Linked DNA regions of Stegostoma tigrinum. The protein of the gene in region 2 interacts with the protein of the main gene of each other region in a pairwise test. Links are inferred from orthologs where the notes say so. Each region holds a gene or a part of one and is shown on either strand. Other genes may lie near its edges. The genes, in order: probable E3 ubiquitin-protein ligase MID2, bysl, lzts2a and probable ATP-dependent RNA helicase DDX17.

Region 1 (7,433 bases), on a different chromosome or scaffold from region 2:
AAAGAGAACACAAATTTAGGGTAATTACCAAAGTAATTATTAGAGGTCAGGTCTTTACACAGAAAACGGTTAGAATGTGGAATTCTGTGCAACAAAGCTTTGTCAAAGGGTTGTTAATAAATTAATTGAAAGGCAATAAATTGTTGCTTGAAATGTTGTAAGTGAGCAGGAGAGAGGGATTACATAACACAGCTCATGTGGGGAACAACACAGATGCAGTACTAATGAGCTGATTGGTCTCCTCTCCACTGTAATTTTCTCTGATTTTGTATTAGTAAAGTCTTAAATCAAAACACAACAACCTCTTTGGGTTGAAACTTAGTGGTGAGTGTTTTTTGGAGAGGTATAAGTTTTGGCAAGCTCCCTGGAGGGTTTCTCCCACTTACTAAATTCACCTCATTAGCCACCTACCCTACCTCACTGGTGCCATTTTTACCCAATTCTCACTCCATTCCACAAATCACCACTGCCAGAATAGCCTGGAATGCACCAGCTTCCCTGGTGCCGCTGTTATGTTTACAAGGCGATTGTGCAGCTAGACAAGCACTGTCTGTCTACAGCTGCCCTGCGTGGTTCCTGACGTTTGCCCTGGAAATGGTAGACAAGGGGAAATTTCTACCTTGCTTTCTGGGCAGTGACCTGGAGGTCCTGCTGGATGGGGTGGTGCAGAGGCAGTCAAGGTCACAACACCAGACCACATCAGCCTGGTCCAAGTCAGTGCCCCCTCAACTGGCTGGAGGAATGTGCTGTAGGAAGAAGGCCAATGACATTCTCCACTCCTCCAGTGCAATTGCCACTATCTCATCTCCAATGTTTCAATACTGCTCTTAACTTATTATGCCAGGGGCCCTTGTCTGAAAACTATGCCCTGTGAGTTGACTGATGTCAGCTACAACCATGATAAACTTCCCTGGCTTTTTGACTGTGCTAAACCCATATGGTAATTACAGCAGTACTGTGAACTGAATATCTCTGGGTGAAGGACAAGTTCCAAAAAGGTAAGGCAAGTCCATGTAAGGCAGGAATGGTTTGACCATCGGGTGAGCTTGATATGAATCAGGGCTAATCGGATTCAGGCCATGAATTAGGTATCTGTTTCTGAGGGCAAAGTGTCCAGAACTACATTCAACATTGTCATTACACCCTGAGGTGCAATATTGATGTGCAGAAGTGTCCTTTAAGTGGATTGAAGATGCATCATGAGGGCTTGATGGCTGGCACCTGTTGGATACCTGTGGCCATGGGGTGATAATGGCCAGTGCCCATGGAGTGTGCCTTGAGATGCTGGTGTTTGCTGCTCAACATGCAAGTCCTTTGGAACAAGTGGTGAGCTGAAATCAGCAGGTTCTCCTGATTGTCAGCAGGTATCTGCTCTGACTTCCATGTCAAGAATTGCTGGCAGCCAGATTGTTTCAAGCCATGCAAGCAATGGATAGCTACTTATTAATGAGGTGAGTTCTGCAGTTAATATGACTGTTTACAGACAATAATCCTCCCTAATGGGCAATTCACAACTGCCTCACAAGCATCTTGCCTCAATGCCTGAAACTCAGTTAAAAGAGAAAGTGAATTATTCCTGATGTGATAGACATTTGTGGACTTCTTATGTGATTCTACCACATTTCACACTTTTACCCACATTGTTCATGATCTTATAACATAACATGTGTTTGCAAGTTGCAATGTGCAGAACTTAATTGGAATATGGACTTAAATAGTGTCACTATGCAATCAAAATAATAGTAAAACTAATAGATGCTATAGTTATTTTATGAAAATGGAATAGCAATTTCAAGGGAGGACTGGATATATTGTCAAATCCTAAAGTTGCTGTCCAATTTACACTTCTCCACTGTCAGTCGTGTAAAGGCATCATCCTGTCCTCAGCTTCCCTTTTATTTGCATTTTGCTGTATTTTTTCATCAGCTGCTGTGAAAACCCAACACAAAATAATTCCATGTCAATACAGCATAATTTACTGTTTATGTTAATGATTGTCAATTAACATCTAAACACAGAAAGTGACATAAGTATGGAGTCTTGTTCCTTCAGATTTTGAATAAGTTGGGGATATTTTAAAAATGTCAAATTTTTTTAATAAAGTATTTCTTTTCAGTTTCCTTTTCTCTCGTCCTTTCTCTTAATCCAATCTGCTTTCCCTCCCTTTATTTCTCTTCTGTACCTGATTTAATATTGAATTCATCCCTTTTTTCTGCAGCCTCTTTCTCACTCATCCCTGTTATTTTTTCTCAATTCTTAGATCTTATTAGAATGCAGCAAATGTTATCAGTAGCACTTATCAATCAGTTCTCAATGTCTATCTCCCACCGTTATCAGCTTGCACTTTCAACAAAGTTCTAATCAAAACATTTTGAGGTGAAGATTCGGTCTAACTAATTATCTGCTGTTAAGTATCATGTTACATCGAATTTTGGCCTGAAAAACAAACACGCACCTTAAAGACAAAAGCTTTGGTCACCCCTATCTTGTTTCCAATACTTTAATGATGAACTTGCAAACATCTGTTTACATGATTGTAGACTTCCAGGCAGGTCAGGAATGCTCGAGATTGACAATCATTACAAATTCACCCCGACATCTAATCTTTGCTATCTCTTTCAGGCAGTCGTGAGATTCTGAGCCTTCCACCTGCCTATATCCTTGGTAATTTCAGCCCTAGATATACAGAAGACCACTTAGCTGTGTGCAGCAAGATATCTGTTATTGTTTATCTGAGTTAATGAGTTGCATTTGAATGTATTTACATCGGGATTTAGAAAATATAATTTTGCAAGTAGCATATGGCCCTGCATATTATCACCATTTAGGGTGTTTTAAACCCCATACTTTAAAATAACAATAAATCTTTACATTGGCCCCCTTCTCCAATTTCCCCAGCTACTCCCCACTGTCCACTCCCTCTGCTTCACAGCCAATGAATTAACTCATAAGTGCACAACACGAATTAGAGCTGACAGAGGGATAGAGGGCAAGTGCCCAGATTTAACGGCTAGCCTGTACCAACCGAGTTGATCCTACGTGAGGTACTTCAATCAGCACCACTGACCACCAGAAGAGAAACATTCCCACAACAATGTGCAGCTAAGTATGAGAGTAGATATCAGGTCAATGTGCGGCAAATTTGATTGATACTTGTATTGGAAATGGGCCATGTCTGAATGATCAAGCTACAGAAATGATGTAGAACTGTACCTAAATAGAAATCATTTTATTTCTCTCTTTTGTAACATGCCTTTCACGATCTTAAGAAGTCTCGTTGCAATTTACAGACTCGAAGCGCTTTCAATGTATAAACATGGCTATAATTTCGAAGATTGAGCATCCAGCTCTCTCGTAATCAAGATCACATTGGATCAATGTTTGGATAACAAAGTGTGGGGCTGGATGAGGGCCTAGGCCCCAAACATCAGCTTTTGTGCTCCTAAGCTGCTGGTTGGCCTGCTGTGTTCATCCAGCCCCACACTTTGGATTCTCCAGCATTTGCAGTTCCCATTATCTCTGATCACAATGTTTGGGTAATCTGTCTTCTGCTTGGTGACGTTTCAGATAAGTGGGAAGAATTGTCCTCTTCTTTGAAGTAAAACAATTTTTGGGGATCTTTTACATCCACCTGAGAGGGGACGCAGAGTCTCTGATAGCACCAAATAATTTGCAAGACAATACGTCTGACACAACAGAACTCCCTCACCACTTCGGTGAAGTGCTAGCCCACATTATGTGCTCATGTTTCCTCTAAGGGCTTTGAGCCCATGCACTTTTTACTCTGCAGTGAGAGTACCAGTCACAGTAAGTGAACAAGGGCAACATGATCTGGAAAGAGAAATATACATTTAAAACATTAACTTATTAAATCGAAAAAAACTTCCATCCCCATTCGAGCATCACACCACTACAGCCGATTGCTTAAGGCAGTAGAACCTCCTTTTCAGAAAAAAAATTGATTGCAAACAATTTAAGAATTGATTTCCTCTGAGACCATTAAAATGGATGCTTTGTGACCATATATAGCAGCAAGAGAATACCATTGTTTTTTTTCCACAAGCCAGAATGTTTCCAGACAGTTAGATTAATAACACAAAGAATGTTGGTGCTTCCGACAGAGCTCGAATTAGGAAAAGGCAATCAGTGAGAAGGGTGGGAGGATATCCGTGGTCCAGCCAACTGCAATGAAGCAGCATTTTAATTGATCCCAGCTGCTCGTGAGAGGAAAATCATTCTAGCAGCTTTAAATCACGTGTCCCCAAGGAAATGATTCACTGAATCTCTGCTCCTGCCTTGCTATTTGATGATAGGGTTGGGAATGGGGTGGGTGATACATTGAAGCTGAATGAGCATAGTTTGTAAATCTTTGTGAAGAGAGACCGGAACATAGCAAAGGAACTGAACTTCGTTCGCGTTACTGCTAGGAGGCAGCTGACGGGAAAACGATACTGGGAGGGAGTGATTAACACAGATCCTTGGTGAGGAGCGTGCACGCTGACAGATAAAGGTAAGTGGTTTTTTCTTATTAACATAAAGTAAATAACGGAGAAAACTACACCTACCAGTGAGAGAATTGCAGTAGAATGCTGTTTCGGTGATGAAATTATTATTGTGTGCCTAGCTTAAATTCAAATGTCTTGTAAAACGCTTTTTGACGGCAGGTTGCTAAGGGCATATGCAAATATTACTTATGCACTTCTTCAGCCTGGGGTTCTCGAATGGAAAAAATGAGCACTTTTTTTTTTAAAAGACTGGAATTTGATAGTGAGTCAATGTTAGGATTTCTCTTTTTCAGCACCAGTGAAAGAATTATCAAATGAGACAGGATGTTTTGAAGGACAAGTTGGATTTCTCACTTCAACAGCACGGTATTAGTTACAGATCCGTATGGTTGACTGACTTTCTGTATGTTACTAAGTAGTACAAAGACACTTGGGCTGGCAAATCGTGTATCCACAGTTTTGAGTTTTTTTTAAAAATCACCGTTTTTATAGAAAGGGAAGGTAATAATTGAATTTTAATATTGCAAAAGAACTGGTGTGCTTCAGAAATTGCATGTTAGGCTTTCTTATTTTGCTTTTTTTTGTCTCTACTCCATGCCTCTCGAAGGCTTGTTTTAAAGCTCAATGCTGTATGTGCAAGATGTTCTAGTCCTGAGCTGCTACTTAGCAGAGTTGTTTTTCTGTAGCTACATAATGGCTTGAGTGGCAGCAGGGGTTAATATGACTACTTATTACTCAGGGCTGGAAATGCTATGTTGACCCAAGAAAACATAGCCTTGTAGCCAGCCAATAAGCTGGGAAGTTAGATAAATCCACTATCAATCATTGGAGTGGATTGGACACAGTCACAACATTCTTCTTTTTTTCCTTTCCTCTCCTTCTTCTCTTCCTTTCTCTTCTCCCCTGCCCCCCCCCCCCCCCCCCCCCCCCACAATTGAACAATCTTTAAGGCTTGTGCTTAAATGTCTATGTGAAAGACTGCTTTCTTTCACAGAGGGGGAAAAAGCATAGATATAAAAAAACTGCAGGAAATATGAGGTTTGGTTGACCATTTGGCCCTTCAAACCTGCTGGCTCTTGGCTGATCAACCTCAACTGTTTCCCTTCTATTCCAAATATCCCTTAAGCGGTGCCCACACTGTGTAGCATTGAATATATTCAATAATTTTGTGCAAACAGTGCAGCTGAGAATTCCAAGTATTCATTACCCTCCTGACGGAGGCAATTTATGCTCTTGGCACTGCTAAATCTGCCTGTTTTTCTGAGACTGTCCTTCCAGTTAAATGCATTAAGCTATGAACTTACCTTGTCAAACACTTGAAGAATTTTCTCATTTAAAACCCACCCTGCATAGTACTTAATTTGCTATCCCTGAGATTTCCTGTAAATGGTCATTCCAACTGAAAGATGGGTGTGAGGAGCATTTGTCCCCAAGTAAAAGTCCTACTGTAGAAGATGTAACAAATAATACATCCTCTGTTTTCCATCCCAATGTAGGAAGTGCGGAAGTTACTCTTTTGGGAGGTGGGAATCCTGGTGGTGATGACTTTTGTAACTGAGGGTTGCTGTCCATTGTTAGTGGTGAGATGCATGTGTAACTGCAATGGGATAGAGATGATGGTTGCTCTTGCCCTTGTGGACCATATGTGTTTATTGATGTTGATATTTCTGGATGTCCCTTATGACACAGGACATGGCCACTGAGCCAGGTTGGCTCAGTCCATTGGCGTGGCCTCGTTTGGCAGTCAAAGGAGGAGACATTTCTGGATTGCACTTGTGTGCACTGGAATGCAACTGAATTTTAAATATGGGACCAGAGGTCAATCCTTTGTATTGCTCACCATTTCACTTCTCCCTGTTTTAGTTGCATAATTAGGTTGAAAAAGTGAAAACTGCTTCAAAGAATTTGCTCTGGAATGTGACAGAACACATGTCATGGAACTCACCACAATATTGTAGCTACCAATGAAGTTTCAGCCTAAAGAATGAATGGGGTTGGGAGTTTCTACTGAAAGAGAAGAATGGTCAATAGTATGGTTTTTCTGCAGGGGGTGGGGGCTGCAGATGCAGGACAAGATAAAACCCTTTAGTGTTTTTGAGGTCCTGATCTATGGCACTTTGCCTGGACAAATGATGGAATGGGCACTTAATTTGGAGTTAAAATGGCTGGCCATTCATAATTGAGTAAATGCATGTTGGCACTTCAAAAAAGCATGAACAAAACCATCTTGTGGAATTTAGATTTAGCTAAAATTGTTTTATTTCAATAAAGCCTTGCATGTTAACACAGTGAGTAAATGGGGGTGGTGATCTGCCCAAACTTGGAATATGAGGCTTCCTCCATTCATTCAAATCCTGATCTCTTTCTGCACACTGCTTCATTTCTGAAGCACGTACAGAGGAAAGGATGGAAACTAACAAGTGTCACCTTCTAGAACTAGTGAGGTGGTAGAAGCACAGTATGTCAGTCAAGGGCAGAGTGAATCCTAGGACAAAAGCCTCATCTTTCCCTTTCTGTTCAAGAGGAACAAGATAATTTAATCACTTATCACAAACCTTATCCTGTGTATTTATGTCTGCTGTCAGCTTTTCTGTAGTCTGAAAGCCAATGACCACTTCACTCTATCTTGGATCATAGAATCTCTACAGTGTGGAAACAGACCATACCTCCCTCTGAGGAGCACCCACCCAGAACCACCACCCGCTTCCTTCCCTACCTTCTCAAATGAGAATCAAAGGTTCCTATAGAAAGTTGGTTCAATGCCTAAGAGCTAGGGAAGACATTGCTTGGGCCCCTTGCTGAGATGCTTCCACCATAGACTGCCACTTGTGAGGTGCTGGAAGATTTGGATGTTGGCAATTGTGGTGCCATTCATCAAAGCAAGTGAGGAAGGAAAAAGAACTAGGACTCATGAGACTGACGTCAGTG
Region 2 (7,797 bases):
AAGTATACAGATTTTTAATAAAAATGCACATAATGTCCTTGTTTCACCCCAGAAACCACTCAAGATATATATTGTTCTATGGGGACAAACATTTATTCTTGTAGGAAGGAAGTGCAATTTAGCAGAAGTAGAAGGTTATTTCCCACTTTGGAATAATAATGAAGGAAATAAAATCATAACACATAATAAAATTTGGGGAATTACTTTAAATGAAATATACCCCTTAGGCTTTGTTCTACTGACAATAAACAGTGACTTACTTTCTAAAAGTACTTTTGCATATGGATGCACAAATCAGTGTAGTTTGGAACAAGTAAATGTTAGCACCAAATCAGCAATTAACAGAACTGAAGGAATCAGCCAAGATTCCATCTGCAAGTACTTTTTATTGTCAGAATAGACAAATAAACCAAGTTTGTATCTGATCCATACAAGGTAATCAGAATACATTGCAAGTGTTGAAATGTTATCATATCCGCCATATCCTAAATAGAAGAGCATCCACAATTTGCTGTATCTCAAAGTTCTGATATGTTGTCATCTTAACAAAATACTTACATGATATATGTTCATGTCTACAAGTGTTAACAGACATGCAAAATGGTGCTGCAGCAGAAGCATATTGACACAATGGGTTCCCAACAGCTTTAACATTTTGATGTTATCTCTCCACTTGCTGAACAAGGTAGCACGATACTGATTGAAGCGAAGAGGCAGCTGCCAAATTGATCCAAATTGGTTTATGACTATACAGCCTCTTTGGAAGGGCAATTCACCTCATCCCAATCTTCTGCTCATTTCCCACAGCCCTGCTATTTTTGCCTGTTCAAGTCATTATAGAACTATACAGTAATTACATTTCAAAGTTTTAAAAATACTTCCTTCAACCAATCAGGCAGCACATTTCAAAATCATAACAACTTGGGTCTTAAAATCAAATTCTCATCTCCCAGCTGGATATGAAAGAAGTGTGAGAGCTTGAAAAAATGATAGGAAGGGGAGCCTTTGGGAGAATCTGTCTTGTTTTGAATGAGACTGTGGAGATTTTTTTCATTTACTCATGGCATGTGAACATCCCTGGCTGGGCCAACACTTACTGCCCATCCCTGGTTGCTCTTATGAAGGTGGTCGTGAGCCAGCTTCTTGAACTCTGAAGTCCATTTGTCCATTTAGAAGAATCGAGTCTTTAAGTCTTTAAGCAATGGGCAAGGACTGGGATTGCTAATCATGGAGATAGTAGGAACCGCCGATGCTGTAGAATCTGAGATAACATGGTGTGAAGCTGGATGAACACAGCAGGCCAAGCAGCACCAGAGGAGCAGGAAAGCTTGACATTTTGGGTCGGGACCCTTCTTGCTAATTATGGAAACTGGTAAAGGAACCAAAGGTGAGTATAGGGGGCAACTTGTATTTATATAGAAACTTTAATGTCATAAAACATTATGGGTAGAATGAAACTGACTGTGGGAATGTTGGAATGTGGTGTGTCTTATTGAAAATGATACATGTCACATAGGTGCAAAATGCAGTGTATTGGCCACGTGGGTCAGGCAGAAGTGGTTGGTGCTTTTTGATCCAGTGTTTTTTTTCCTCCCTCCCCTCGGGATCTGGGAAAAGAGGGGTATGATTTAGTTTTTGTTTCAACGTTTCTGAGGAGGTGTTGATTCGGAAGGGTATTATAAAAACAAAGTATGATACTCAGCCACATGGTGCGATATTGGAGCCCAGACATTTTGTCAAAAAATAGGTTTTAAGAAGAATTTAAAATAAAAGGGAGATAGAGAAGCGGAAAAGTGTAGGGTGAGTATTTCTGAGCCTGGAGGCCTAGGGAAGATATGACCATATAGTGATTAAAATCAATGAAGTACAAGAAATTAGGATTAGAAGGGCTTGGGTCATTGAGTTGAAGACAGAATGTTACGATGCCAGTAAAACTGACTAAAACCTCGTACAATAGGCATCATTCGACCCATGGAGACCTTATACAGGGAAAAAGACCTTTTAGCCCGTCGTGTCCTGTGCTGGTCATCATGCATCTATCCAGTCCAGTCCCATTTTCCAGCACTCAGTTCATAGCCCATAGCCTAGTATGTAATGGTATTTCGAGGGGTCATTTAAATGCTTTTAAATATCTTAAGGGTTCCCATCTAAACCATACTTTTAAGCAATAATTTCCAGACACCGACCCAACTGGAAGAAATTCCCCTGTAAACTTCCTGCTTTTTACCTTAATGCTGTGTCCCTCCCGTCATCTACCCCGGCTATTAACCACACTATTAAGAGGAAAAGATGTTTCTACCTACTTTTTCTATGACCCCATAATTTTGTAGACCTCAATGAGCTCTTTGTGGTCTAAGGAAAACAATCCCAGTCTAACTGGGTGCATTCTGAGGGAGGGTCACTCGACCCTGAACATTAACTGTGATTTTGTGGCATGGTGGCTCAGTGGTTAGCACTGCAGCCTAACAGCACCAGGGACCTGGGTTTGAGTCCAGCCTCAGGCAACTGTCTGTGTGGAGTTTGCACATTCTCCATGTGTCTGTGTGGGTTTCCTCCCACAGTCCAGAGATGTGCAGGCTAGGTGGATTGGCCAGGCTAAATTGCCTGTAGTGTTAGGGGAGTGTGGATTATGGGGTAATATGTCTGGGTGGAATGTTTCAAGGGGTGGTGTGACTTGTTGGGCCAAAGGGCCTGTTTCCACACTGTAGGGAATCTAATCTAATTTCTCCCCACAGATGCTGCTAGACTTGCTGAGCTTTTCTAGCAATTTCTGTTTTTTTTGCCCCAGTCCAATATACAGGACAATAAAATGTGAGGCTGGATGAACACAGCAGGCCAAGCAGCATCTCAGGAGCACAAAAGCTGACGTTTCTGGCCAAGACCCTTCATCAGAGAGGGGGATGGGGTGAGGGTTCTGGAATAAATAGGAAGAGAGAGGGAGGCGGACCGAAGATGGAGAGAAAAGAAGATAGGTGGAGAGAGTATAGGTGGGGAGGTAGGAAGGGGATAGGTCAGTCCAGGGAAGACGGACAGGTCAAGGAGGTGGGATGAGGTTAGTAGGTAGGTGATGGAGGTGCGGCTTGGGGTGGGAGGAAGGGATGGGTGAGAGGAAAACAGATTAGGGAGGCAGAGACAGGTTGGACTGGTTTTGGGATGCAGTGGGTGGAGGGGAAGAGCTGGGCTGGTTGTGTGGTGCAGTGGGGGGACGGGACGAACTGGGCTGGTTTTGGGATGCGGTGGGGGAAGGGGAGATTTTGAAGCTGGTGGAGTCCACATTGATACCATTGGGCTGCAGGGTTCCCAGGCGGAATATGAGTTGCTGTTTCTGCAACCTTCGGGTGGCATCATTGTGGCAGTGCAGGAGGCCCATGAAGGACATGTCATCTAAAGAATGGGCGGGGGAGTGGAAATGGTTCGCGACTGGGAGGTGCAGTTGTTTATTGCGAACCGAGCAGAGGTGTTCTGCAAAGCGGTCCCCAAGCCTCCGCTTGGTTTCCCCAATGTAGAGGAAGCCACACCGGGTACAATGGATACAGTATGCCTAATTGGCAGATATGCAGGTGAACCTCTGCTTAATATGGAAAGTCATCTTGGGGCCTGGTATAGGGGTGAGGGAGGAGGTGTGGGGGCAAGTGTAGCATTTCCTGCGGTTGCAGGAGAAGGTGCCGGGTGTGGTGGGGTTGGAGGGCAGTGTGGAGCGAACAAGGGAGTCACGGAGAGAGTGGTCTCTCTGGAAAGCAGACAAGGGTGGAGATGGAAAAATGTCTTGGGTGGTGGGGTCGGATTGTAGATGGCGGAAGTGTCAGAGGATGATGCGTTGTATCCGGAGGTTGGTGGGGTGGTGTGTGAGAACGAGGGGGATCCTCTTTGGGCGGTTGTGGCGGGGGCTCGGTTCGCAATAAACAACTGCACCTCCCAGTCGCGAACCATTTCCACTCCCCCTCCCATTCTTTAGATGACATGTCCTTCATGGGCCTCCTGCACTGCCACAATGATGCCACCCAAAACTTGCAGGAACAGCAACTCATATTCCGCTTGGGAACCCTGAAGCCCAATGGTATCAATGTGGACTTCACCAGCTTCAAAATCTCCCCTTCCCCCACTGCATCCCAAAACCAGCCCAGTTCGTCCCCTGCGCCCACTGCAACACACAACCAGCCCAGCTCTTCCCTTCTACCTACTGCATCCCAAAACCAGTCCAACCTGTCTCTGCCTCCGTAACCTGTTCTTCCTCTCACCCATCCCTTCCTCCCAACCCAAGCCGCACCTCCATCTCCTACCTACTAACCTCATCCCACCTCCTTGACCTGTCCGTCTTCCCTGGACTGACCTATCCCCTCCCTACCTCCCCACCTATACTCTCTCCACCTATCTTCTTTTCTCTCCATCTTCGGTCCGCCTCCCCCTCTCTCCCTATTTATTCCAGAGCCCTCACCCCATCGCCCTCTCTGATGAAGGGTCTCGGCCCGATACGTCAGCTTTTGTGCTCCTGAGATGCTGCTTGGCCTGCTGTGTTCATCCAGCCTCACATTTTATTATCTTGGATTCTCCAGCATCTGCAGTTCCCCTTACCACTGATACAATTTACAGGACAGATTGGATGAGCTCTTTCAAAGGGCCAGCATCAGCAGGATAGGCTGGAAGGCCTGCTTCCGACTGAAAGGAAGCAATAAGTATGGAAAGAGACCAAGTGGGAGAAAGGCAGGAAGGAGCACTTGAGTAGAATGAAACTGGCGATGTAATTATGGAACGTGGTGCGTCTTATTGAAATTGATACACGTCGCGCAGGCGCAGGAGTCAGTGCACTGGCCACGTGGGTCGGGCAGACGTGATCAGTGCTTTTCGATCCGGTGTTTTCCTTCCGGCGTCTAGGAAAGGAGGGGTACGATTCCGTTTTTGTTTCAACGTGTCTGAGGAGGGGTTGGTGCTTTAGTTTGGACGGGGTGATGCCGAAAGCGAAGGCGGCTAAAGGCAGGCTAAAGGAGTCCAGGGGCCTGGCCTTGGCCGATCAGATCCTGCAGGAAGATGCTGTCAAACCGATCAGCCGCAACAAGAAGCGGGGCCGGGGCGACGAGGCTGACGATGAGTACGTGGACGAGAAACTGTCCCGCAAGATCCTGGAGCAGGCCAGGATTCAGCAGGAGGAGCTGGAGGCAGAGCATGGAATCAGCAAGAAGAAGAGACCCCAAGCCACGGTCCTGGGTAGGTTTGACTGCACCGTACGGCCAGAAAGCGCGGGAGCCGGGGGTCTCAAAGTGTAGTAACAGGTTTGGTATTAAATCCGCATCACCCAAGGTTGCCAAAGCAGTTTCGAAAAATAGTTAACCAGGCTAAACAAGTGTTGGAATATCGTATGATCTGGAATTCTGTCAAAATTTAAGGGAAAGTTGGATAACTGCAGGGGGAAGAAATAAATGCTGAGCAACTTAGATGAAAATCGTCTGAAGCATGAACGCCAGTAGTTAGTTGGCCGAATGGCCCGACTGAAGGTGCTTTTGATGTGTTCAGTTGAAATAATAACCCATTTCTTTACAGAATCTAACAATCCTGCTATTTACATTTCTTGCGTGGTGTGGTGATTCTAAGACCACAGTTGATGCATACAAACTATCTTTCTTTGTTGAGCGCAGAAGTGAACATTCAGGTCTGTACCACTTTCAATGAGAAATCAAGTTAGAGCCTGAATTGCATTTGCTGTTTTCTTGCTGGTGAAGGAAAAAAACAATTTGGTTCCTTTTTAATAGCTATAATTGAACCTGTATCCGTCACCCTAGCAGATTCTGCCTTACAGATAAGTCACCTCACTCTGTTGGTATTTGTCTTAGGACCCTTCACCCTTAAGTCATTGATAACTTTCTGTTTATGTGCAATATTGTCTTCAAACCCTTTTTTTAAAAAAAACCCTCTTGAAGGCCCTCTTTAGCTTCTTCTCCATGGACGACAACCCTGAAGAAGAGTTAATTTGGACCTTTTTAAAATTAATTTGTGGGATGTGGGCATTGCTGGCTGGCCAGCATTTCTTCTCTGTCCCTGGCTGCCCTTGAAAAGGTGGTAGTGAGTTGCCTTCTTGAACCGCTATAGTCCACCTCCTGTCAGAGGGAATTCCAGGATTTTGACCCAGCAACAGTGAAGGAAAAGTGTACATTTCCAAGTCAGGACAGTGAGTGGCTTGGAGGGGATTTGAAGGTGGTTGGGTGTTCCCATATCTCTGCTGTCCTTGTCCTTCTAGATGGAAGTAGTCATGAGTTTGGAAGGTGCTCTCTGAGGATGTTTGGTGAATTTCTGCAGTGCATCTTGTAGATGCTACACACTGTTACTACTGATGATTCCGTGAGTATGACTTTGTCAGGCTGTCTTCACTAGTCTGTGAGACAGCTCTCCCAATTTTGGCACTAGCCCCCAGTTGTCAGTAAGGAGGATTTTGCAGGGTCTACAGGGCTATTTCTGCCATGGTCTCTTCTGGTGCCTAAGCTGATGCCAGGTGATCCATCTGGTTTCATTTCTTTGAGATCTTGTAGCGATTGGTACAACTGAATGGCTGGCTTTCTAGGCCATTTCAGAGGGCAATTGAGAGTCAACCACACTGCTTTGGGTCTGGAGTCACATGTAGACCAGACCAGGTGAGGATGGTGGATTTCCTTCCCTGAAGGACATTAGTGAAACAGACGGGTTTTTCCGACAATCGATGACGATTTCATGGTCGTCAGGAGATTCTTAATTCTGGATCTTTTCATAAAAAGTTCTGCTATGGCAGGATTCAAACTTGGAATCCCAGAACGTCAGTGATCGCCTTCCCGATGACATTGATTGATTTTTTTCTCTCTCTGTAGACGTTGCCAGGCCTGATGAGTTTGTAAGTGAAGAGTTAGTTCTCCAAGTAGTTGTTATGTACCTATTTGTAAAAACTGGAAATTTCTTTGTATTGTTAATGACTAATACTTTAGGACATTAATGATGTATTGTTTTGCTATTGGATCCTTTGGACTTTTGGAGTTTAGGAACAGGAGTTGACTATTCAGCCTGTTGAGCCTGCTGTAGATTCAATATGATCACAGCTAATTGTCCAATTCCATGTCTTTTTCCCCCCCACACTATCTTCTTACTCCTTAATATCATGGGTCTTGAAAAATCTGTCAATCAAACAAATGCAGTGAATGAGCTTCCACAGCTCTCTGGAGTATACATTTTCAAAGATTCATGTTCCCCCAAAGTTTTTTTTAAAAAAAAACTTCTCATCTCAGTTCTGATAGGCTTCCCCATTATTTTCAAATTGTGACTCTTGTTTCTAGACTTTGCAACCAGAGGAAACCCCTTGTCTGCATCTTTCCCATCCTTCACTTCAACTATTTTGTAGATTCCAATGAGATGACCTCTCACTCTATAAAATGTCATCACAGTTTCCTCAGTCTCTCTCTTCAAGATTAGTTGAACATTTTGAGATCTGGTAGAATTTCAGAGCACCCCCTCTATAGTGGTATTACCCTTCTTAAGGTAAGGGCACCAAAACTAGACATGCTGTGCACTCTGGATGCAGTCAAACCAAGTTTCTGTATAATTGAAATGAGACTTCACGATTTCTGTACTCACATCCTCTTAACATGGAGAAAGGCTAACGTACCATTACCCTTCCTAATTGCCTGTTGCACAGGATTCTCTAGTACAATCAGAAAATGGTAAAAATGTGTAGCAGCTGAAATGGAAAGGAATTGAGGGGGAAAAAAAGTTAAGATTTGGATGGAGATTGTTAATCTGATCATTTTCTTTTTAGTTTGTGGTATCAGTAAGTTGTACACCTAA
Region 3 (7,093 bases), on a different chromosome or scaffold from region 2:
GATCAGTGACCACAACAAGAATGCAATGCCCCATGAAAAGGTGTCAGATCCTTTCCATGTTGCAGCAAGTGAAATGAAGATATCAGTCCTGGCATTGGAGCACAGAGTGCTGACTATTACCTTCCGCACCCTTCCTACGCCTTGTGTGAGCTTCACTGTCACTGCACAGGGACTCAAGAACCTACACCCCCACCCCGCAACTCTCAAATGACACCCTAACCTGCATATCCTTGCACCGTGGGAGGAAACCCATGCAGGCACAGGGAGAATATGCAAACTCAAACCTTGTCCTCTCAATTAAAAGACAAGTGTGGAGAACAGGCAGGCTATTCAAATAAATAATTCAACACATGTTGTAGCTTATAATTAACTGGCTCATTGAATAATAAGTTCATCTTGTGTTCGGACGGTTTCCGAGGGAAGAGATCCTGCAGCCTGGAGTGGCCCATGAAGAATGAAAGCCAGCCCTGATCCAGCTACATAATTGTCAGCTAATCATTTTTTCTGAGCAGACTTACCAGAAATCCATTAGCATGGGAGGGGAATCGGGGCACCAGTGAAAAGCATTGAGAGTTCAGCTCCAGATTAATCTTCAATCTTTTCATCATGGGCTCCACGATTCAAGGATTTTATTCATTAATTACACACTAAAGACTGCTCATCAGGCACTGCGTTAAACCACTCCTTCCCTTTTAATTGTTTCCCAGAATTTGCTGTTCCTTGTTCGCATTACAGACCCCCACAAACTGTTCCACTACAGCGTCATCAGAAACAGAGGAGGTGACGGCCTAGTGGCATTAACGCTAAGCCAGAGGTAAAGTTCTGTGGATCCTGGGTTTAAAGTGGAATTTGAATTTGAGTTAAAAAATCTGGAATGAGGTATTTAATTTCAGGAGGTGGAGAAACCCATCCTGGTTCAGGAAAGCAAAGTGCCTGCTCCACTCTTTAATCAAATCATGGCTGGTCTTTCCGTGAACGCAGCTCCACTTACCCATCTGCTCAGCAGAACCCTTAATTCCCTTTACTGTTCAAAAATCTACCTTTACTTTAAAAACACTCAATAAGATAGCCTCAATGACTTCACTGGGCAGGGAATTCCACAGATTCACAAACCTTTGGGTGAAGAAGTTCTATCTTATACTGAAGTTCTACCTTATTTCTGAAGAAGGGCCTGAACCCAAAACGTCAGCTTTCCTCCTCCTCTGATGCTGCTTGGCCTGCTGTGTTATCTCAGATTCTCCAGCATCTGCAGTTCCTACCATCTCCCTACCTTATGCTCCATGTAACTCCAGACCTACAGCAATATGGTTGGCTCTTACAGGCAATAAATAGAAGTGACGCTCACAGCCCATAGGGTTAAGGAGAATCCAAAGGGATTTATAAATACATTAAGGACAAAAGGGTAACTGGGGAGAGAATAGGGCCCCTCGAAGATCAGTTAGGCCGCCTATGTGTGGAACCACAGGAGATGGGGGAGATACTAAATGAGCATTTTACATCATGTTTACTGTGGAAAAAGATGTAGAATGTGAGGAAATAAATAGCGATTATTATGGAGGAGAAGCTGCTGGGTGGCTTAAATCGCATAATTGTGGATAAATCCCTGGGACTATTATCAGGTGTACCCTAGAGCTCTGTAGGAAGCTAGAGAAGTGATCGCTGGGCCCCTTGTTGAGATATTTGCATCATCAACAGCCATGGGTGATGTGCCGAAAGACTGAAGCGTGATTAACATGGTGCCATTTTTTTAAGAAAGGTGATGAGGAAAAGCCAGGGAACTATAAAGCGTAAGCCTAACATTGGTGGTGGGTAATTTGTTGGAGGGAATCCTGAGGGACAGGATTTACATGGATTTGGAAAGGCAAGGACTGATTAGGGAAAGTCAGCATGGTTTTGTATGTTGAAATTGTGTCTTACTAACTTGATGAGTTTTTTGAAGTAACAAAGAGGATTGATGAGGGCAGAGCGGTGGACGTGATTTATGTGGGCTTCAGTAAAACATTTGACAAGGTTCCTGATGGTAGACTGGTTAGCAAGGTTAGATCACATGGAGTAGAGAGAGAACTAGCTATTTGGATACAGAGATAATAAAGTGTGAGGCTGGATGAACACAGCAGGCCCAGCAGCATCTCAGGAGCACAAAAGCTGACGTTTCGGGCCTGGACCCTTCATCAGAGAGGGGGATGGGGAGAGGACTTGAAGGGAGAGGACAGAGGGGGTGGTCAAATATTGTTTTTCAGGCTGGAGGCCTGTGACCGTGGTGTGCCACAAGGATTGGTGCTGGGCCCACTGCTTTTTGTCATTTATATAAATATTTGGATGTGAACAGAAGAGGTATGGTTAGTAAGTTTGCTGATGACACCAGATTGGACGTGTAGTGGACAGCGAAGAAAGTTACCTCAGAGTACAAAGGTATCTTGATCAGATGGGCCAAAAGGCTGAGGAGTGGCAGATGGAGTTTAATTTAGATAGATGTGAGGTGCTGCACTTTTGAAAGGCAAATCAGTGCAGGACTTATACACTTAATGGTAAGGTCCTGGGGAGAGCTGCTGAACAAAGAAACCTTGGAATACAGGTTCATAGTTCCTTGAAAGTGGAGTCACAGGTAGACAATGTAGTGAAGACGGAGTTTGGTATGCTTGTCTTTATTTGTCAATACATTGAGTATGGGAGTTGGGAAGTCATGTTGTGGCTGTTCCGGACATTGGTTTTAGAGTATTGCATGCAATTCTGGTCTCCCTGCTATCGGAAGGATGTTTTGAAACTTGAAAGGGTTCAGAAAAGATTTACAAGGATGTTACCAGGGTTGAGGTATAGGAAGAGGCTAAGTAGCCTGAGACTGATTTCCCTGGAGCATCAGAGTGGACGGCTGACCTTATAGAGGTTTATAAAATGGTGAGGGGCATGGATAGGCTAAATAGTCAAAATCTTTTTCCCAGGGTGGGGCATAGGTTTAAGGTGAGAGGGGGAAGATTTAAAAGGGACCTAACAGGCAGGTTTTTCATGTAGAGGTGGGTGCATGTATGGATGGCAGTTTCCTTCCTTAAAGGACAATAGTGAACCAGATGGGTTTTTCCTGACAATCGACAATGGATCCATGGTTATTATTAGATTTTTAATTCCAGATATTTAATGAATTCAAATTGCATCTTCACCACCATGTCGATTTAGCTTCTGTATCAGACACTATTTGGTCCAACCTTGCCCCGTCCCACCTTCAAACCTCCTAAAAACCTATCCCCTTGACCACACGTTCAATGTCTTGTCCAGCACCTTGTCACCTGATTCAGTGTGGAATTTGACCTTGAATAGCCCTGTGCAGCCCCAGGAACTGCACTAAAGGCTGCTATATCAATGCAGGGAGGTCTTGATGCTGACAGTCTGCCTGTGGCACCATCTCCCAAACATTTTGTCCATGGGGGTCTGAGAACTGGCTGTCACTCCAAGTCCATCCAACCACGACTTTTGCCTGCCAGAGATAAACCAGAATGATCCATTTCCCCTACCCCGACCACTGTCCCCCCCCGCCCCGGGGCCACAATTCTTGTTCATTTTTGTACATCTCTCCAATGGGGTAGGAGAAATAAACAGTTGTGGGTCAATCTCTTAGGGACAAGTGAAGGGAAGGGTCTAGGCCCGAAACATCAGCTTTTGTGCTCCTGAGATGCTGCTTGGCCTGCTGTGTTCATCCAGCTTCACACTTTGTTATCTTGGATTCTCCAGCATCTGCAGTTCCCATTATCTCTCTCCACACCTTGTTATCTCGTGTATTTATTTATTGTTAGAAAAGAATCATCTCCATTTCAGCATTTTTTTCTGAAACGTGGGATTCAGTCTCCATTATTGCAAACTCCTTAATGTTGATGTGTCAAGTTTCAAACGTGAAACAGAGGGTGGGATTCAGCAACTGAACCAAAGCAGAACAGAACCACAGATTTCAGGGATCCAGGGGCTTCAGGAAGCACAGACTGGTCATGACTGATGATTTCCCAAGGCAGCGGCGATAGGTTTCTCCAATATCCCTCCCCTTGCAGAAGAAAAAAGGGGTGGGACTCTGACAAGCAAATCCTGTTACTGACAGATGCTGAAGGGAACTGAAGGAAGTTCTGCGTGTTTGTTTGTCATCGGCCCTTTTTCTCCCCACTCTGTATGTGCATATGCATCGAACAGAAACATGCTGGCCGGCTCTAGCGGCGTAAAGGTGTGGGGCTAGACCGAGGAAAGAGAGAGAAATTTGAACTGACTTTGAAAGCGGCTCGTTGGATCGCAACTGAAAGTAGGGGAGAGGGCGAGTCGATAGACGGTGAGTGTGTGGTTTAAGTACGGGTCGATAGTGCTTGTCGTTTTCCTTGTAAAACCACACACTTCTCCCTCCAGGCCCTGATATGTGTCTGTGGGGGAGAGAAAAATGACAAATTATCCTGGAACTGGGCGCAACAGCTATTTAACAAATCGTATGCATTAGTCAAGCCTACTTATATTGTTTTACGAGACTGAGAGTAAAAGTTTATTATCTCTCTGCAAACCCAGTTTATTTCTGCTGGAATGGAGTCTCTGAATTGCTTGGTTGGCGCGGTGTGTAATCTGAGGGGCAGTTTTGCTTCCAGACCACCCCTAACATGCTCCTGGCTAGGCTCTCACCCCTGAAAAGAAGGAGATAGAGAAATTTCTAGAGGTACAGAATAAACTCTTTGTTGAAAAACAAGAGAGAAACACGTTTTTTTTCCTCTTTCTGTGGAGAATTTCTGCTGAGCTGGATTCCAGGGTTGTGTTTTTAGCTCCTACATAAATTTCTAAATTTTTGTTTTTGCTGGTCGTGTTTTCTTTTTCTGCTGGCAATAACTTAATACATAAAACACGAAGCTAGCGAGTAAATTGGATCTGCGTTATTAATAATGTGTTTGGTGCTGTTGTGGTAGACTGTAATTTCCCAGAGGTGAAGGGAAAGATCTTGGCGTACGTTTCTGGATAATGTTTCCTGTAAAGTGGAAATGTACAGATACTCTTGATGTCGGTCTCTGTATAACAGCAGCCTGTTCTCTATTGGCCTTTGGTCTCCCGGGTAGGGGAGTTGTGTTCAAAGTGGTCTGACCACACCCCCTTCCCCATTGCAATTGCTGCACCCCTCATTAAATCAGAAAGACTTGTTTATTGCTGAGATGTTTGTAGGTTGGGAGGTGCCTGTTAATATTCAACAAGCTAGAGAAGTTGGTATGAATAGACTGCCTCTCCTATATGTGTGTCTCAGCTGGGGCTCAGTGGGTGACTCTCACACTCTTGAGTCACAAAGTTGCGGGCTCAAGCATCTCTGCTGCGTGCCACAGTCGAGACCAACGCTTGGGTCCCAATGTTTGGATGAGACGTTGAGCTATGGTACCGCCTGCCCTCTCAGATGGACAGTAAAGGATTGAGGCAGGTTTCGAACAGCAACAAGGCTGTGTTCGCCAGTGTCCTGGTCAATGTTCATGCCTTATATCGGATTATCGGGTCATTATCACACTGTCATTTGGGTGCCACATTACCTCAATACAACAGTGACTGGCAAGGGAGTAATTTAATTGCATACGGTGCTCTGAGAATGCCCATTGGTTGTGAAAGGTGCAATGCAAATGAAATGTACATAAATAGGAGCAGACCATATGTGCCTTAGTCTGTAAGGCTGATAAGTTTTTCTTTTGCAGAATGTTCCCCACAGCTCAGTTTTTCCGCCCCATTTCTGCCAGAGCCCTTTTATCCCCTAATGCTCACGTCCCAAAGACTATATTGTTCGTCCACGTCTTACAGGATCCAGACTTTCAATTACTCGTAACCCTCTAAATCCTTCCCACACCTCAGCCCTAGATAGCTGACCCCTTATCTTAAGACTATGATCCATAGCTTCAGACTCTGCAGCTGGGAGAAACAGTAACTCAGGATCACTGATAATAAAGTGTGAGGCTGGATGAACACAGCAGGCCCAGCAGCATCTCAGGAGCACAAAAGCTGACGTTTTGGGCCTAGACCCTTCAAAGAGGGGGTCACTCAGGATCACTGCTTCTTTATTAAACACGGGAATATACAGGCCCGAACTAACTTGATTGTTCCTCATAGCCCAGCACTCTTGTCCCAGGCATCAATCTGTTGAACCTTTGCATCCACTCCAATGCAAGCATACCCCTCTTAGGTAAGGTGACCAAAATTGTACCTTTGTACTTCCAGGTATAGGCTTTTACCACCGTATATAATTGGAGCAAGATGTTCTTGCTGTTACTAGGGGCAGCACGGTGGCTCAGTGGTTAGCACTGCTGCCTCAGAACACCAGGGACCTAGGTTCGATTCCACCCTCGGGCGATGTCTGTGTGGGAGTTTGCACGTTCTTCCCATGTCTGAATGTGTTTCCTCCAGGTGCTCCAGTTTCCTCCCACTGACCAAAGATGTTCAGGTTAGGTGGGTTGGCCATGCTAAATTGCCCATAGTGTCCGGGGATGTGTAGGCTAAGTGAATTGGACTTGAGAAATGCAGGTTTACAGGGCTTTGGGTGGGATGCTCTTTGGAGGGTAGGTATAGACTTCTTGGACTGAATGGCCTGCTTTCAAACCATATGGATTGTAATATTATATTCCAATTCCTATGCAGAGAAAGCAAACGGTTCAGCTTTCCAGTTGCCTTCATGCTAATGTTCTATGACTCGTGTAAAAGGATCTCCAGATCCCTCTCACATCAATGTTTACTACTGTGTTTCAAAAATTTGCTGCTCCTTCATTTCTACTACCAAGCTAGAGAATTCGCCTTTAGAGATAGTAGGAACTGCAGATGCTGGAGAATCCAAGATCACAAAGTGTGGAGCTGGATGAACACAGCAGGACAAGCAGCATCTCAGGAGCACAAAAGCTTTTCTGACAAAGGGTCTAGGCCTGAAACGTCAGCTTTTGTGCACCTAAGATGCTGCTTGGCCTGTTGTGTTCATCCAGCTCCACACTTTGTTATCTCGGATTCACCTTTTCCTGGATTATACCCCATCCACCACCACCTTGTGGAATCATTCTGTCACTATCCCACTGCAGCATTTTTATGTCTTGCACATTGCTTCCTATTCAGCTAGCTTCATTTTATC
Region 4 (7,151 bases), on a different chromosome or scaffold from region 2:
TGTTATTTTGGTAAATCTTGTCTCTGCATTCTTGAAGTCTAAGATAACCTTCCCACAATGGTTCCAGGAACTATCAATTGCACTTGGTTGCTGTGTAAGCACACTTTTGTATAGTTGAACTGCCACTTTAACCCATATATTATATAGTCAGAAAAGTCAACAGTCCGTCAGCTTCTCTTGATCTGTTCAGGAAATCTAATGATCTGGACCCCGTTGCTTCTAGCTTTCCAATCCAGAGAAAGTCACCCATTTTAGTATTTTAGGACCTGATTGAATTACTATACGTTTGATTACATTTAATTTTATTCATCAGTTTTCTCTATTCAATTAATTTTTTTTATCATGCTTTGTGATATTACCTACACTGTTCACAATGACACCTCTCTTTTGCATCATTGGCAAAATCTGGGTATGTGACTTTCTGCCCCATCATGAGTCATTATTATTGATGGTGAATAGCTGAAGCTGCAAAACCACCTACAAAATATCATTAATCCTGCTCATTATCCCTACTCTCGTTTTTTGCTGCTTAATCCATTTCCTAACATGGTCAATAATTCTCTTCTATTTCATTAGCTGCAACTTCAGTTAACAATTTCTTTTGACGATCTTTGATGAAATGTCTTCAGTCCACATAAAAAAAATCCATATGCAACGACATTCTTTCCTTTACTTTAATCACCTCTTCAAAAATTCAACTCACCTACACCACATGCCAGTAGAAACCAGAGCACACATTATAAAAATTAATAGGTTTCAGGATACTGATGATATCAAACAGAAAAATACGGCAGAGAGAGAACTGAGCAGAAACGATCTGTTTGAATGGTAGAGCAGGCTTAATCGGAACACAGGTAGGTGATTCGACCTATATTCATTAGTCATGACTGACTGTTCACCTGTGGGGTTATTTGATCAGCTAAAAGCTTTGAAGTTGTATATTGTTTTTAAAAAAAAACTCCTGCAATTTTCCCCAACAGATGTTAGGCTAACTGGTCCAGAATTTTCTGGCTTTCTTCTCAGCTTTAAATCGCCATAATTTTTTCAATTTAGAAGGAAGGTTCTGATACAAGAGAGTTGTAAAACGTCACAGTTAAGGCCATGCAGTATCGTCAATTAAACAAAATTTGAAAACCACTGGTCTTGGGATTTGTCATTCCTTTCGACCATTACTTTCTTCAAGACTGCTATTTTGCTAAGTTTATTTTCATAACAGCAATTCAATACTTGCAATTTCCAGCACAATGATATTTTCCTTTAATTTCCTAATTGACAATTGTGATATTGGCAGTGACAGTTTAGACAATAGACAATAGGAAGGGTCACATGATAACCACATTAGGGGAATGAGAAGCAAAGTTAGATACAAAGATAGTTATTTTATGAGGAATTGACTCAAAATTAAATCAACAGTTGATATTTCATATCGCAGGATTACAGCAAAATTCTAATATCAAATTAAGTTAGTTACATCTCAGTTAACAACTCACTCAACTTTTGCAACTAGATCCATTCAGATACCCACCGGGCTTAGTCGAACCACTTCAGGGTGCTCCACATAGAAGTTCTTCTCAAATTTTGGCAACTCCTCCAGGTCCCACTTCTTCTTCCTCAAGCGTTCTCCAGGCTGTCCAAATTTCTTCCCAAGTGATGGGCCCCCACGGCTAGGCCCTCCACCAAACCGTGGGCCATTACTAGTGAGAGGAGGTTGAGTCTTAGTCAGAAATAGGTACAACTACAACCCAGCCAGCAATCCACAAATGAAGCCCACATCAGATGTTACATGTGAATTTTATTATTAGTACAGCTAGTAAGTACTATAGGCTACCCTGAGTAAGAAGATTGGAACCATTAAAAAAAAACATTGCCAAGGTGTGAAATTATGAGAGGGGCTTAAACAGGTAAGTGATATAGGGAGGACTGGAGGAATTAGGTCACGGTTGAGTCATCGTGTCATCCAGGGAGGGCGACTCTACGCCTGCGACAGTAAAATGGCTGAACCAAAGACAAGCCAGTAATGGAGAAACACAGCACGGCTGCTCAGACTAGGCCTCGCTGAACGGCTCATTGACGTACGTTACCGGGCGAGAAGGCGAGGTCGGGCTAGAGTCACATTGATTGGGTCAAACACCTGTCAAGCAAGACCCAAACGGGACAGACGGACACCAAAAAGATCCAATCAAATTTAGAGAAAACAGTCCCCGACCAATAAGAGTGCAGTGCCAACGGAAGGCGGGACCACTAGCTAAGCCGGACCCCCTCCATCTTCCCGCAAGAACTCCGGAACCCTCCTTTCGGCCGGCTGACAGAGACCCACATTCATCATCCCATCCTCGCCAGCACACAGGCCGCGAAGCATCGCACCTACATCTCGACCGGGAGGTACATCTCCTGAGTCATCCCACTAATTCCTGGGCATCAAAGTCCACGACCTTTCAGATCCCTTTAACGGCACACACAAGCCCAGATTCCCTGCACCCCGATCAACGGGGGGCGGACAGGGACCCAGAACACAACCACCCTCAACCCCCGGGGTCACTCAAATACCGGACCCCGTCAAACGACTACGCGCAAATGCTTCCTCGCCAGAGATCACGGGTGGCAAAGTCAGCAGCCACGATTCGCCGCCTGGCCTAGGCGGGGCAACAGACCTAGAAACCAGGCCTGGTGGAAGTGCGAGGCCTCTTCCTTGCCAAACCCGCTCCTTGCAAATTGCTTCTTTTGACCCGGAGTGGTAAGTGTGCGGTCCTGTTCAGCCTCCTACCTTCCTCGGTCTCTACCGCGGTCACGGTCTCCACCGAATCCTCTCATTTTCGCTCGATTCTCGGCGTCGGGGAACAAAGAAAAGCCGCAGTTCCTGCGATAGGTTCAGCAGCAACTTGCCGGAAGAGCCGACCCTCCCGCTGGATTCTCGGTTGGGAACAGCCCCCTCCCGCCGGATCCTGAACAGGAACAGCCGTACTCCGCGCCGAAACCCGAAACAGCTGTCCTTCTCCCTCCCGCCGGACCCCAGTCGGGAACACCCCTTTTCCTCCGGACCCCTGTCGAGAACAGCCGCTCTTCCTCCTCCCGCCGGACCCCTGTCGCGAACAGCCGCGCTTCCTCCTCCCGCCGGATTAAAGTCTACCTAGCAACAGAAACGTCACATCCTTGTCTGTTCGAGCATTCAAAGGACGGCCTGCGAAATAAGGCTTGTTTATCAAAACCTACTGTTAATTGCCCAGTTCTGACTTCATGTAGTTTTAGTTTAGGAAACTGTTGCGTGTATGTTAAACACCACCTTTTCCAAAGGCATTAGGAAGCGATGTCAACAGCTAAGTACTGGAAGGTTAACACAAAGGTGTTTTATTGTAAGGGGAATGGAATATAGGAAGTTTCCAGGGCGTTGGTGCGACCGCATTTGGACTATTGTATACTCTACCTATGAAAGATGATACTGGAAGTAGTTTATCCGAAGTTTACCCAGTTTGATTTCTGGAAGGAACAAAAACAAAGTTGCTGGAAAAGCTCAGCAGATTTGACAGCATCTTTGAATGAAATAAAAGAGATAACGTTTCGGGGCCGGTGACCCTTCCTCAGAACTTGATTTCTGGATGAAGGGGCTATTTCATGCGGAAAGTGTGCGTCTAAATCGATTGCAGTTCAGAAGGAGATAACGCGGTGTGAAGCTGAATGAACGCATCGGAGCAACAGGAAAGCTTGACGTTTCGCGTCCCGACTCTTCAGAAAAAGGGTCCCGACCCGAAACGTCAAGCTTTGCTGTTCCTCTGATGCTGCTTGGCCTGCTGTGTTCATCCAGCTTCACACCGTGTTATCTCAGATTCTCCAGCATCGGCAGTTCGTACTATCTCTGTGGCAGTTCAGAAGGATTTTGATTGGGTGAATGGAAAGAATCCTTCCCTCAGGAAGACTGGAATTAGGAAATACAGTGTAAAATTAAACTGTCCTATATGGGAACAGTGATCTCCCAGGACTGGAAATCCATGGAACTCTATTCCAACGAGATGGATTTATAAAATAATATAAACATATTGAAAATTCTTAAAATGCAGGTCGATTGACTCCCTTGTCAGGAATAACACTTCACTTGACCAAGGAACAGCACTCCAAAAGCTCGTGATTTCATATAAACCTGTTGGATGATAACCTGGGTGTAGTTTGACTTCTGACTTTGCCCGCCCCAGTCCAACACTGTCACCTCCACATCAATAATTTAAGGGTAAGGGGACAGGAAAGTATGCTATGCTGAGGCCACAGTCAGATCAACCAAGATTTTATGGAATGATAGAAAGGTTTGACAGTTCAAATGCCCGACTCCTGTACCTAATTTGTATGTTGGTATTGAAATCGTGGAGCCAGCATTTCCAAAATTTGCTGATTTCCACTTGTAACCAGGATGACAGCCTGAGTTTAAATCAGATCCAGAATTAGATTCAAAGGCCCCAATAGTAAGGGGTGTGAGGGGGCTGCAGAAAAGACACTATCGAGTCATACTGCACGGAAACAGACACTTTGGTCTAGTCCCACTTGCCTTCGCTCGGGCCATATCCCTCTAAACTTTTCCTATTCATGTACCTATCCAAATCTCTTTTAAATGTTGTAATTGTATCTGCCTCTACTACTTCATCTGTCAGTTCATTTCATATGCGAACCATTCTGTGAAAAAGTTGTATTTCAGATCCCGTTTAAATTTTTCTCTTGCCCACCTTAAAAATATGCTGGCCAGTTTTGAACTCCTCACAATTGGGGAAGGACCTTGTTATTCACCTTGTCTATGCTCCTTATGATTTTATAAACCTTTATGAGGTCACCCCTCAACGTCCTACATTCCAGTGAAAAAAGTACCAGCCATCCAACTTATCCTTACGACTCAAACCCTCCAGTGCCGACAATATCCTGGTAAACCTTTTTGAATCCTCTCTAATTTAATGATATCCTTCCTACCACAGGCCAACCAGAACCTTATAGAGTACTCCAAAAGTGGCTTCTCCAATGTCTTGTAGCACCTTAACATGACATCCCAACTCCTGTACTGGTCACTGCAATGAAGGCAAGTATGCTAAATGCCTTCTTAACCATCCTGTCTGTGACTTTCAAAGAACCATGTACCTGAACCAAGGGAGCCTCTCAGCACCAGGGACCTGGGTTCAATTCCACCTTCAGGCGACTGTGTGGAGTTCACACATTCTCCCTTGTCTGCATGGGTTTCCTCTGGGTGCTCCAGTTTTCCTCCCACAGTCCAAAGATGTTCAGGCTAGGTGGATTGGCCATGCTAAATAGCCCACAGTGTTCAGGGATGTGCAGATTAGGTGGGTTATGGGGAATGGGTCTGGGTGGGATGCTCTGAGGGTTGCTGTGGACTTGATGGGCTGAAGGGCCTGTTTCCACACTGTAGGGATTCTATGATGATCTATGAACCCCATGGTCTCTGTTCAAAAACACTATCTGTGAACCTATCATTCACTGTATAAGTCATGCCCTTGTTTGTTTTACCAAAATGCAAAACCTTGCACTTATCCAAATTAAAACTCCATCTGCCACTTCGCACTCCACTGGCCCAATTGATCAAGATTCCTTCAGAATCTTCAATAACCTTCTTCACTCAACTGCACCACCAATTTTGGTGTCATCTGCGAACTTACTAATCATGCCTCATAAATTCTCATCTAAATCATTAATATAAGTAAGAAACAAAAGGTGGACCCAGCACCAATCCCTCTGGAATGCTGTTGGTGAAAACAAACCTCTGCTACCACCTTCCGTGTCCTACCATTAAGCAAATTTTGCATCCAATTGGCAAGTTCTCCCTGAATCCCATGTGATTTAATTTATTCATCATTCTACCATGTGGCACCATTTTAAAGGCTATACTGAAGTCTATGTAGACAGCATCTACCACTCTGCCTTCATCAGTCCTTTTGGTTACATCCTCAAGAAACTGAATCATATTTGTGAGACATGATTTCCCTACACAAAGACATGTTGGCTATCCCTAATCAGTCCTTGCTGCTCCAAATGCATGCAAATTCTTTCCCTCCAACAACTGATGCCATCGATTGACAGGTCTATAGTTTCCTGGTTTTCCAGCCTTTCTTATTTCAGAGCACAACATCAGCCACCCTCCAATCCTCTGGCAACTCGCCCGTGGCTGTAGATGACACACATATCTTTGCCAGCGGCCTGCAATTTCTTCCCTAACTTCCCATAACATCCTCGGATTGACTTGATCAAGTTGTGGAGATTTATCCACCTTTATGTTTTTCTAAGACCTCCAGCAGTTCCTCATCTGTAATGTAGACTGTTCACGAGACATCAATATTTATTTTGCTGAGTTTCCATTTCTTTCTCCACTGTAAAAACTGATGCAAAATATTCATTTAGTATCTCTCCAATCTCCTATGGTTCCACATATATATGACCTTGATTTGTATTTTCTCCCTAGAGGCTCTTTTGCTCTTCATGTACCTGTAGAATCTCTTTGAATTATCCTTAAGCTTATCTGTCAAGACAATCTCATATTCCCAAATGCCCTCCTGACTTCCCTCTTAAGAATGCCCCCACACTTTTTATTCTCTTCAGGAGATTCACTTGTTGTCTTTACTTAATACATGACTCCTGACAAAAATGAAGAAACTAAACTGTTAGGAAATATCAAAGCTTATGACTGAAAGGCACTCCATGGTTTTTTTTTAGATAGATTTCACCAAGCCTGTTAATGTAGTGCCATGTAGGAGATTGTTCCATAGGAAGTAAAACGTAGAACATTGATAGCCTGGCTGTAGCAGTGGTTGGAGTTGTCAGAGTGCTGGATAGTCACTGCTGAAATTCCCCAAAAATCAGCACTTTGTCATCCACATTGTTCCACTTTCAAATTGCTATTTTTGGACACTTTTTGTCTGTATATCAATGACTACATGGAGTTAGATTACATTGTGAGATATCAAGAACAAGTTGATCAGATCGTGGTGTCCAGTTGAGAAGAGCAAATAATCATCAATTTTGTCAACTACAATGAACAGGCAAAAAGGGAATAAATGTTGAAATGATAATTAAATGATGTTGGTCTACAAGGGGGCTAGGGTGTGTGAAATATAGAACATAGAACATCGAACAATACAGCGCAGAACAGGCCCTTCGGCCCTCGATGTTGC

Evidence for each region.
Region 1: the proteins of bysl (region 2) and probable E3 ubiquitin-protein ligase MID2 interact in binary tests that used the Homo sapiens proteins (3 or more experiments, as listed by UniProt). The two-hybrid records come from large-scale screens. The link is inferred for Stegostoma tigrinum from reciprocal best matches to the Homo sapiens genes BYSL and MID2.
Region 3: the proteins of bysl (region 2) and lzts2a interact in binary tests that used the Homo sapiens proteins (3 or more experiments, as listed by UniProt). The two-hybrid records come from large-scale screens. The link is inferred for Stegostoma tigrinum from reciprocal best matches to the Homo sapiens genes BYSL and LZTS2.
Region 4: the proteins of bysl (region 2) and probable ATP-dependent RNA helicase DDX17 interact in binary tests that used the Homo sapiens proteins (3 or more experiments, as listed by UniProt). The two-hybrid records come from large-scale screens. The link is inferred for Stegostoma tigrinum from reciprocal best matches to the Homo sapiens genes BYSL and DDX17.

What each region holds. Positions count from the first base shown.
Region 1 is NC_081368.1:43,276,082-43,283,514, forward strand, and holds the start of probable E3 ubiquitin-protein ligase MID2, read left to right. Parts: upstream 1-4,416; 5' UTR 4,417-4,510; intron 4,511-7,433. UniProt on the Homo sapiens protein: E3 ubiquitin ligase that plays a role in microtubule stabilization. Mediates the 'Lys-48'-linked polyubiquitination of LRRK2 to drive its localization to microtubules and its proteasomal degradation in neurons.
Region 2 is NC_081374.1:14,519,637-14,527,433, forward strand, and holds the start of bysl (bystin), read left to right. Parts: upstream 1-4,786; 5' UTR 4,787-4,946; coding exon 4,947-5,202; intron 5,203-7,797. UniProt on the Homo sapiens protein: Required for processing of 20S pre-rRNA precursor and biogenesis of 40S ribosomal subunits. May be required for trophinin-dependent regulation of cell adhesion during implantation of human embryos.
Region 3 is NC_081373.1:6,413,828-6,420,920, reverse strand, and holds the start of lzts2a (leucine zipper putative tumor suppressor 2a), read left to right. Parts: upstream 1-4,079; 5' UTR 4,080-4,303; intron 4,304-7,093. UniProt on the Homo sapiens protein: Negative regulator of katanin-mediated microtubule severing and release from the centrosome. Required for central spindle formation and the completion of cytokinesis.
Region 4 is NC_081391.1:823,300-830,450, forward strand, and holds the start of probable ATP-dependent RNA helicase DDX17, read right to left. Parts: upstream 3,021-7,151; 5' UTR 2,812-3,020; coding exon 2,765-2,811; intron 1,695-2,764; coding exon 1,526-1,694; intron 1-1,525. UniProt on the Homo sapiens protein: As an RNA helicase, unwinds RNA and alters RNA structures through ATP binding and hydrolysis.